Oryctolagus cuniculus: one gene and its partner. The main gene of each other region encodes a partner of the protein of the gene in region 2 in a complex. Links are inferred from orthologs where the notes say so. Each region holds a gene or a part of one and is shown on either strand. Other genes may lie near its edges. The genes, in order: ORC5 and ORC3.

Evidence for each region.
Region 1: the proteins of ORC3 (region 2) and ORC5 are in contact, whole or in part, in a cryo-EM structure (PDB 7JPO), measured with the Homo sapiens proteins. The link is inferred for Oryctolagus cuniculus from reciprocal best matches to the Homo sapiens genes ORC3 and ORC5. Residues at the interface, in NP_036513.2 of Homo sapiens: Glu99, Val109, Met144, Lys145, Leu148, His178, Ser180, Met181, Asp182, Glu223, Asp232, Ile235, Ile236, Gln239, His240, Ala253, Thr254, Ser255, Pro256, Ile257, Ile258, Ile259, Arg261, His265, Ser269, Cys272, Ile273, Glu274, Leu275, Ser280; in NP_002544.1 of Homo sapiens: Asn62, Val64, Glu65, Phe67, Thr68, Arg70, Leu71, Gln75, Tyr129, Leu270, Arg271, Ser274, Ser275, Ser276, Gln277, Leu294, His297, Thr298, His299, Val300, Glu301, Leu302, Pro303, Tyr304, Tyr305, Ser306, Asp360, Tyr367, Arg373, Pro376.

Annotation. Positions count from the first base shown.
Region 1 is NC_091434.1:140,254,711-140,258,534, reverse strand, and holds part of ORC5 (origin recognition complex subunit 5), read right to left. Parts: intron 1,653-3,824; coding exon 1,541-1,652; intron 1-1,540. UniProt on the Homo sapiens protein: Component of the origin recognition complex (ORC) that binds origins of replication. DNA-binding is ATP-dependent. The specific DNA sequences that define origins of replication have not been identified yet.
Region 2 is NC_091436.1:84,931,187-84,935,010, forward strand, and holds part of ORC3 (origin recognition complex subunit 3), read right to left. Parts: intron 2,632-3,824; coding exon 2,498-2,631; intron 332-2,497; coding exon 172-331; intron 1-171. UniProt on the Homo sapiens protein: Component of the origin recognition complex (ORC) that binds origins of replication. DNA-binding is ATP-dependent. The specific DNA sequences that define origins of replication have not been identified yet.

The DNA of each region.
Region 1 (3,824 bases), on a different chromosome or scaffold from region 2:
AAAATTAAATCCTTTGATTCTGTGATTTTTCCCCCCATGGATGAGACGTTATTGAAAATAAGGATTCCCCTTTTCTATTTTGGGTAACTTAAAAAAAATCAATTAATTAGCTAGGACAGGAGGTGATACTTGCCTGTTGTTCTTGTGAAAATAGGCAAAAATGTGTTGATCTTAACAATGAATATTTACAAAAGATAAATCCAGAGGGGTAGTGGTAGTGAGGCCAGCGTCATGGGATGCTATTTTTTTCTTTTTTCTTTTTGACAGGCAGAGTGGACAGTGAGAGTGAGAGAGACAGAGAAAAAGGTCTTCCTTTTGCCATTGGTTCACCCCCCAATGGCCGCTGCGGCCAGCATGCTGCAGCCGGCACACCGCAATGATCCGAAGGCAGGAGCCAGGTGCTTCTCCTGGTCTCCCATGGGGTGCAGGGCCCAAGCACTTGGGCCATCCTCCACTGCACTCCCTGGCCACAGCAAAGAGCTGGACTGGAAGAGGAACAACCGGGACAGAGTCTGGCGCCCCGACCAGGACTGGAACCTGGGGTGCCAGTGCCGCAGGTGGAGGATTAGCCTATTGAGTTGCGGTGCCGGCTGATGCTATTTTTTTCTTTAATTTTGTTTAAGGAATACAACTTCATGCATTTAATATAAACAAATTTGGGAACATGGTGATTCTCCCCCCCCCCCACTTCCCTCCCACCTATTCTCCCACCTTTCTTCCTCCTCCCTCTCCCTTTACCATTCTTATTTTTTACTGAGATCAATTTTCAATTAATTTTATACTAAAAAGGTTAACCCCCTAAGTAGAGAGTTCACCGAATAGTATGAAGAAAAAAAAAAGCACAAAAACAAACAAGAATAATACTGTTCATCAACAAGGCAAGGGATGTTATTTTTTCATACACACTTCACAGTTATAATCTTTGAATCAGAAGTTTTACACTTGTATACTGACAACAGAGTAGTAATCTACAAAGCTATTTAGCAACACAAAGAGCTAATGTGTTCTTACAAAGACAGAATTAATCAAGATCTATGAAATCTAAGTTTAAATTCAACCCCCTAAAAAAGACATTTAAGAGTTAGTGGCTGGTACTACAAAAGTTACAAGAATGAAAAACAAGATTCACAAAATCAAAAGATATATTACACATGGTATTTTAACCCAATTTTATTATAAATAAATGTTTCAATATAATTTTAGTATGCTTCGTCATTATAGTCTACTTTAATCGTATGGATATCATAATTGCTGCATATTTTAATGTACCAACTAAAAAATGATAAAAATATGCTGTTAGCACAAAGATATAAAAGTTGCTCATTCAAAAAATTTCAGGACTTATACAAGAATAATTCCTCAAAGTTTCAAATTATAACTTCAAAAATATAGTACAGAAATATAAAGGACACTGTATTTGAAATTGGCAGTGTACCTTATCAGTTCAGAACACATCCCACTTTAAACACGCTAGCTTAATCTTTCAAACAACATTAAATCTACTGAATATCATTTGCCAAAACAATCTTTAAAAATTTACCTATGCTATAATCAGGGAAATACAAGACAAATGGTTCAAAGCATCCAGTATTTGGACGAAACTTTTCCCAAACAATTTCACTGAGAAATATAACAGTCACATTTCGGTCAGTCTGTAAAAGAAAAAAAAAAAAAAAGCTTTGCATTTAAAAGTATTAATCAAAGCAATAATTCCATTTACATTTTTCCTTTAAAAATTCCAGGAAGGGTGGTACTAATGGCATCTTACATGTTAAAGTGATCATTTTAAGTGTGTAACTGATCATACAGATAGGAATAAGTGTCAAAGGGATCATATAAATAAGATCAGTTATCTGCTAATAACAATATAATTAAAAAGGAGAGAACGATTCTACATGGAAAGCAGGCCACACAGCAGACTTAGAATGACAAATGCCCTAAACAGCACTCTGACCTCAGAATCAGCCCTTAAGATATTCTGATCTGGCTGAAAAGCCCATGAGAGCATTTCAGGAATGGAAAGCCAAGACACTGTGGCAAAAAAAATGACCTAAATCAAAGATCTCTGTGAGTGAGAGCCTTGGCAGCTCATGACAAGAGTCTCGGGTGATTGCTGACATCATAAATAAGAGTGTCAATTGTTAAATCAACAACAGGAGTCACTGTGCACTTATTCCCTATGTAGGACCTCTGTTCTCAATGAATTCTACTATCAGAATAACAGTAAAACTTGTCATCAAACAGTACTTTATACATTCTGTGTCTGTGTGGGTGCAAACTGTTGAAATCTTTACTTAGTATAGAGCTGGTCATCTGTATATAAAGATAATTAAAAATGAATCTTAATGAAGAATGGGATGGGAGAGGGAGTAGGAAATGGGATGGGAAGAGGGGTGGGAAGGAGAGTATGGGAGAAGAACCACTACTTTCTTAAAGCTGTACCTATGAAATTTGTATGTATTAAATACAAGCTTTCTAAAAAAATTTTTAAATTCCAGTGCAATTTTAACATAAAACACATCATTTGTATGTTATTTTAGAAAACCTAATCATCTACTTGCAAATATTCAATATATCTGTTCTCAAGGATGTTAAGATAGTCACATGAGATTTACTTTAGAAATTAAGAAAAACACTTACTTGAATAATTAAGACAAAACTTTTATGTAAATTCTCAAAAAAATCATAAGCTTTCATCAGTAAATTTAAAAAGGCAAAGCTTATCATTTCTCATCATTAAAAAAGCTTCAGCAACCCACAGAAAAGTTAATATGCAGTTAAAGGAAAATAGATATGCCATATCTATCCCCCATAACAGCGCATACTAGGAACATTAAAGGTTTTCCTTAAGGTTATGTTTACATCAATCGCTAAGTAAAACTGATGTTCAATAAACAATAAAAGCTCAAACTACGAGTATTATCATCTAGAACATCAACATTAAGCAAAACACTTATCTTTTGAAATATTCATATATGTAGAAATTACTATATCAACAAAAAATACTAAGAGAGCCTGTTATCATACTATAGCATGGCCATAATTGTCCTAAACAAGCTAGCTGACATTTTGTGTATTCATCTCTGCATTCTCTACACAAACTTTAATTTTCTCCATATTATTTTGGCATTCCTAGGCTAACAAAGCAGAAAGAAAGCTGTTTTGGTCAGCAGTGGATGACCCTAGAACCAGTCTTCCACATAAACTGTACTGTATATTTTTTAAAGATTTTTTTTTATGTATTTGACAGGTAGAGTTATAGACAGTGAGAGAGAGAGACAGAGAGAAAAGTCTTCCTTCCGTTGGTTCACCCCCCCAAATGGCCGCAACGGCCGGAGCTGTGCCGATCTGAAGCCAGGAGCCAGGTGGCCCAAGCACTTGGGCCATCCTCCATTGCCCTCCCGGGCCACAGCAGAGAGCTGGACTGGAAGAGGAGCAACTGAGACTAGAACCCGGCACCCATATGGGATGCCGGCACCACAGGCGGAGGAGGATTAACTTAATGCATCATGGTGCTGGCCCCTATACTGTATTTTGACACTGAGTGATTTACTGATTCCTTACCTGTATGATTTTCATTGCTTATTTAGTTAACAAAAAGATCTGAATACATAATTCCACAGAAAATTTAACATCTCTATGAGAGGAAAGGATTTTTATTTCCAAATGCTTTGTCTTACAAATTCACTTTTTTTTAGATTTATGTTATTTATTTGAAAGACAGAACCACAGAGTGAAGGAGAGACAGAAGGAAAGATCTTCCATTCACTGGTTCACTCTCCAAACAACCGCAAAGACCAGAGCAGAGCTGATCTGAAGCCAGG
Region 2 (3,824 bases):
TACTTATAAAATGTTATAACAATTATTACATAAAACTATTAAGATAAGCAAAGCGCTATGTTCAGTTTTGCATTCAGAGATGTGGGATACATCATTAACATTTATATTTACAATCCATTCTTGGTAGTTTTCCTTTCCTTCTATTTCATTGGTAAAACTTTTAATTTTTACCTTATCAAGTACTGAAGTCAGGTGCTCCTTGCAAGATAATGATTGGAACAGCTCTATACACAACAGAGATGACACTGCATGAGGAAGCAACCGGTGGATGATAATAGGAGATGTGGCGATACCAAAAATGAGTATTAGTGGAAATTCATGCAGATGTTGACTAGTTTTCAAAGAAAGATACAAAAGTGAAATCTCTTTAGTAAACGTATTTCAATATGCTGTACTACAAGATAAGACAAGCTTTACTGCACACAGACACTAACAAGTATCATTCCAAATACTAAAATTTTCTAGGTCATTCATTTTCTTCTGTTAAAGTAACATAGAAGTAGTTATTTCCAAGACATTCTAGCTTTGAATTCAATCTATTAATCTATTAATGGTTCCTTTTCATTTTAAAAATAAAAACATAGAGGGCAAGAAAAATCAAATGCCCCACTACTGCTATATAATCTCAAGTGTTAGAAGAGATATTAGATACCATTTAGTCTAACCTCTCCCTCAGAGTCTGTCATACCTACAATCTTCTTTACAGTTAGGCATCTAACCTATGCTTCAATAATTCAGTGACATAGAGCTCCTTAAATACTCAGGGCAACTTATTCTATTTATAAGCATTTCTAATAGACACTTCGTGATCCAGTCACAGTAGCCAAGATTAGGAAACTTTTCTTGGGGTAGGCATTGTAGCACAGTGGATTAAGGTGCCACCTACAAAGCTGGCATCCCTATGAACACTGGGTTGAGTCCTGGATGCTTTACTTCTGATCCAGCCTTCTGTTAATGTGCCTGGGAAAGCAGTGGAGGGTGGCCCAAGTGCTTGGCTTCCTGCCACCTCCATGGAGACAGAATGGAGTTCCAGGCTGTTGGTGTTGGCTTAGCACAGTCCTGGCTGTTGTAGCCATTTAGGTACTGATCCAGCGAACTGAAGATATTCCTATGTCTCTCTCTCTGTAACTCTGCCTTTCAAATAAAAAAATAAATCTTAAAAAAAAAACTTTTTTACACATATATAAAGTCATCTTAATGGACATCATTAAAAATGATATATCACTTCCTCATATTCTTGAACAAACTGAACACTTTAACACTACCAGAAAAACACAAATAACTTCTACGAGGTAAAACAGCACTATCTTTGAGGACTATTACAAGACAGAGAGCTCTCTATCATGACTAAATGATTTTGATTACTCTCTCCTGTTAGCCACTGCTTTTCAGTGTTTTAGCTATACACAGTACTACCTTCATAGATGTAAAGTACCTCACTCTCTGCCTGTTAAGTTTGTCTTTACTTTTAATGGATAGAGTAGTCAGAAGCCTGAGCTCTAAAAAGTGTAATTTTTTGTAGTTGACTTCCTCAGCATGGTAGGCACATCAGTGTTAGCATGAAGGAAAGTCCTGGCAGCTAGAACTCTTAAAGTCAAGACAAAAAAAATTCTATGAAAATACAAATTTCAAGTGTGTTAGTATATTATACACAGTATGGTTTTAGGCAAATGGAGTTAAGTATTAAGCCAAGTTGACATTTAGAGAAAGTCAAAATATATTAAATACAGTTTTTCACTAGAAATACATAAATCTAAGGTAGTGCTATTTGGAAAATATTCTTGCTTAGTAAAGCTATGTGCAACTCAAAGCCTCTAAGACTGCCTAGTTATCATAAAGATGTAGTAAATTGGGGCCAGCGCTGTGGCACAGCAAGTTAAGCCACTGCCTGCAGTACCGGCATCCCATATCGGGGCGGGTTCGCGTCCTGGCTGCTTCACTTGCAATCCAGCTCTCTGCTGTGGCCTGGGAAAGCAGTGGATGATGGCCCAAGTCCTTGGGCCCCTGCACCCACAGGGGAGACCCAGAAGAAGCTCCTGGCTCCTGGCTTCGGATCAGCGCAGCTCTGGCCATTACAGCCAATTGGGGAGTGAACCAGCGGACGGAAGACCTCTCTCTCTCTCTCTGCCTCCCCTACTCTCTCTGTGTAACTCTTTCAAATAAATAAATAAATCTTAAAAAAAATGATCTAATAAATTATCTCCATCTGGAGTAGTTTATCCCATTTAAGGCACAACAGACTTTGGTGAAATAAACTATACTTTATACTGCCTTACCACGTTCATTAAAAATGGGCTAAGTTTGTGATTCCTGTTCTTGAGTTAAGAAGCAAATGAAAAATCTGAAATGTATTTGAACATTTAATGAAAAAATTTGGTATCATTTTGAGCTTTGTCCAGTTGGACTCAAAATGAAGATTATGCTTTTTAAGGTAAAAGGAATACTTTTTCTTAATAAAAAAGAATTTTGCACAAAACCCAGGTGACAAACCAAATACCTGCTCATTAGTATGAAGTCTTGGAGCACTTTTGTAGTGAAGCTTTCCATATCTTTTAAGATAAGCACAACAGGAGGAGAATGCCATTGGCTAGAAGTAGTCCTCTTTTTGCTTGGAATTTTTGGTTCTGTCTTCTTTTTAAGCCATTATGGAAAGAAGGAGTTAAAAAGTAAGCTTTATCACCCAAACAAAGCTACAGTGCCACATTTGACATATTTCCCTTCACACTTCACAGTAACATTGTTTCTTTTATTTCTTCTATATAATAGAAACTCCTTTCAACAGTTACTAGCAGAATCATTCTAACATGGGAATAATAAACAAGAAGAAAAAGGTGCAGTAAAATTTATAGTGTATATAAAATATTTATATTTTTTGCTGGGAAGAATGACAAGAAAAATGGGAAGAAAATTTTCAAAATTGATTTTTCTACCAGTAGAAAGTTATATTTTGTTTTGCTTAAGAAGTCCTAGTATTCTTAATTAGAAAGCATAAAAATAGCACTACTTGCTGCTCTGCTATTATGAAATTTCAGGCTTAAAAAGGACCTTAAGGGGTGGGCATTTGGCCTAGTTAAGACATTGGTTTAGCATACACATTCCACATTGGAGGAATACCTGGGTTCAATATACAGCTCTGGCTCCTGACTCCAGTGTTCTGCCAATACAGACCCTGGGGGCAATGGTGATGGCTCAAGTAATTGGGAGACCTGGACTGAATTCCCCCCGTCTTGGTTTGGCCCCAGCCACTGTGTGCATTTGTGAAGTAAATCAGTGGTTGGAAGCTCTATCTGCTCGTGTCTTTCTCTCTCTGTGTCTCCCACAAAATAAACAACAACAATGAGCCTTAAGTATCACCTGGCCCAAATATAATCTTCTAAAGATTCCTGATATCAACTGTAAGTAGTGTTTGATTCCCAGAAAATTTAAAATTGTAGACTGAATTAATAAGCATTAGTTCCTATATGAAGCAAAATGAAACTTCTCTCATGATGACTGTAGCAAAAACGTTAATTGGAAAAATGTCACCACCTCATTTTTTCCCTAACTTGTCTGGTTACACAGCATCATGAAATAAAGCTGAAGTTTTACATTGCAGTTATCTTGAATCACCTAGGTTATACATTTTCTCCAGAGGCCATAATGTAGAATGGAACTTCTTTTTATTTGTCTGTTTGTTAAATATACTTACAGAGTACCAATTCCCCAAGAACTCTAAACATGGAACAACTCAGATTTTCTTTAAAAAAATACGTGATTATTCTTCATAGGACTAAGTTAACAGTACGTACTAGCAAGATGGTTCCACTACACAAAAGCAAATATTG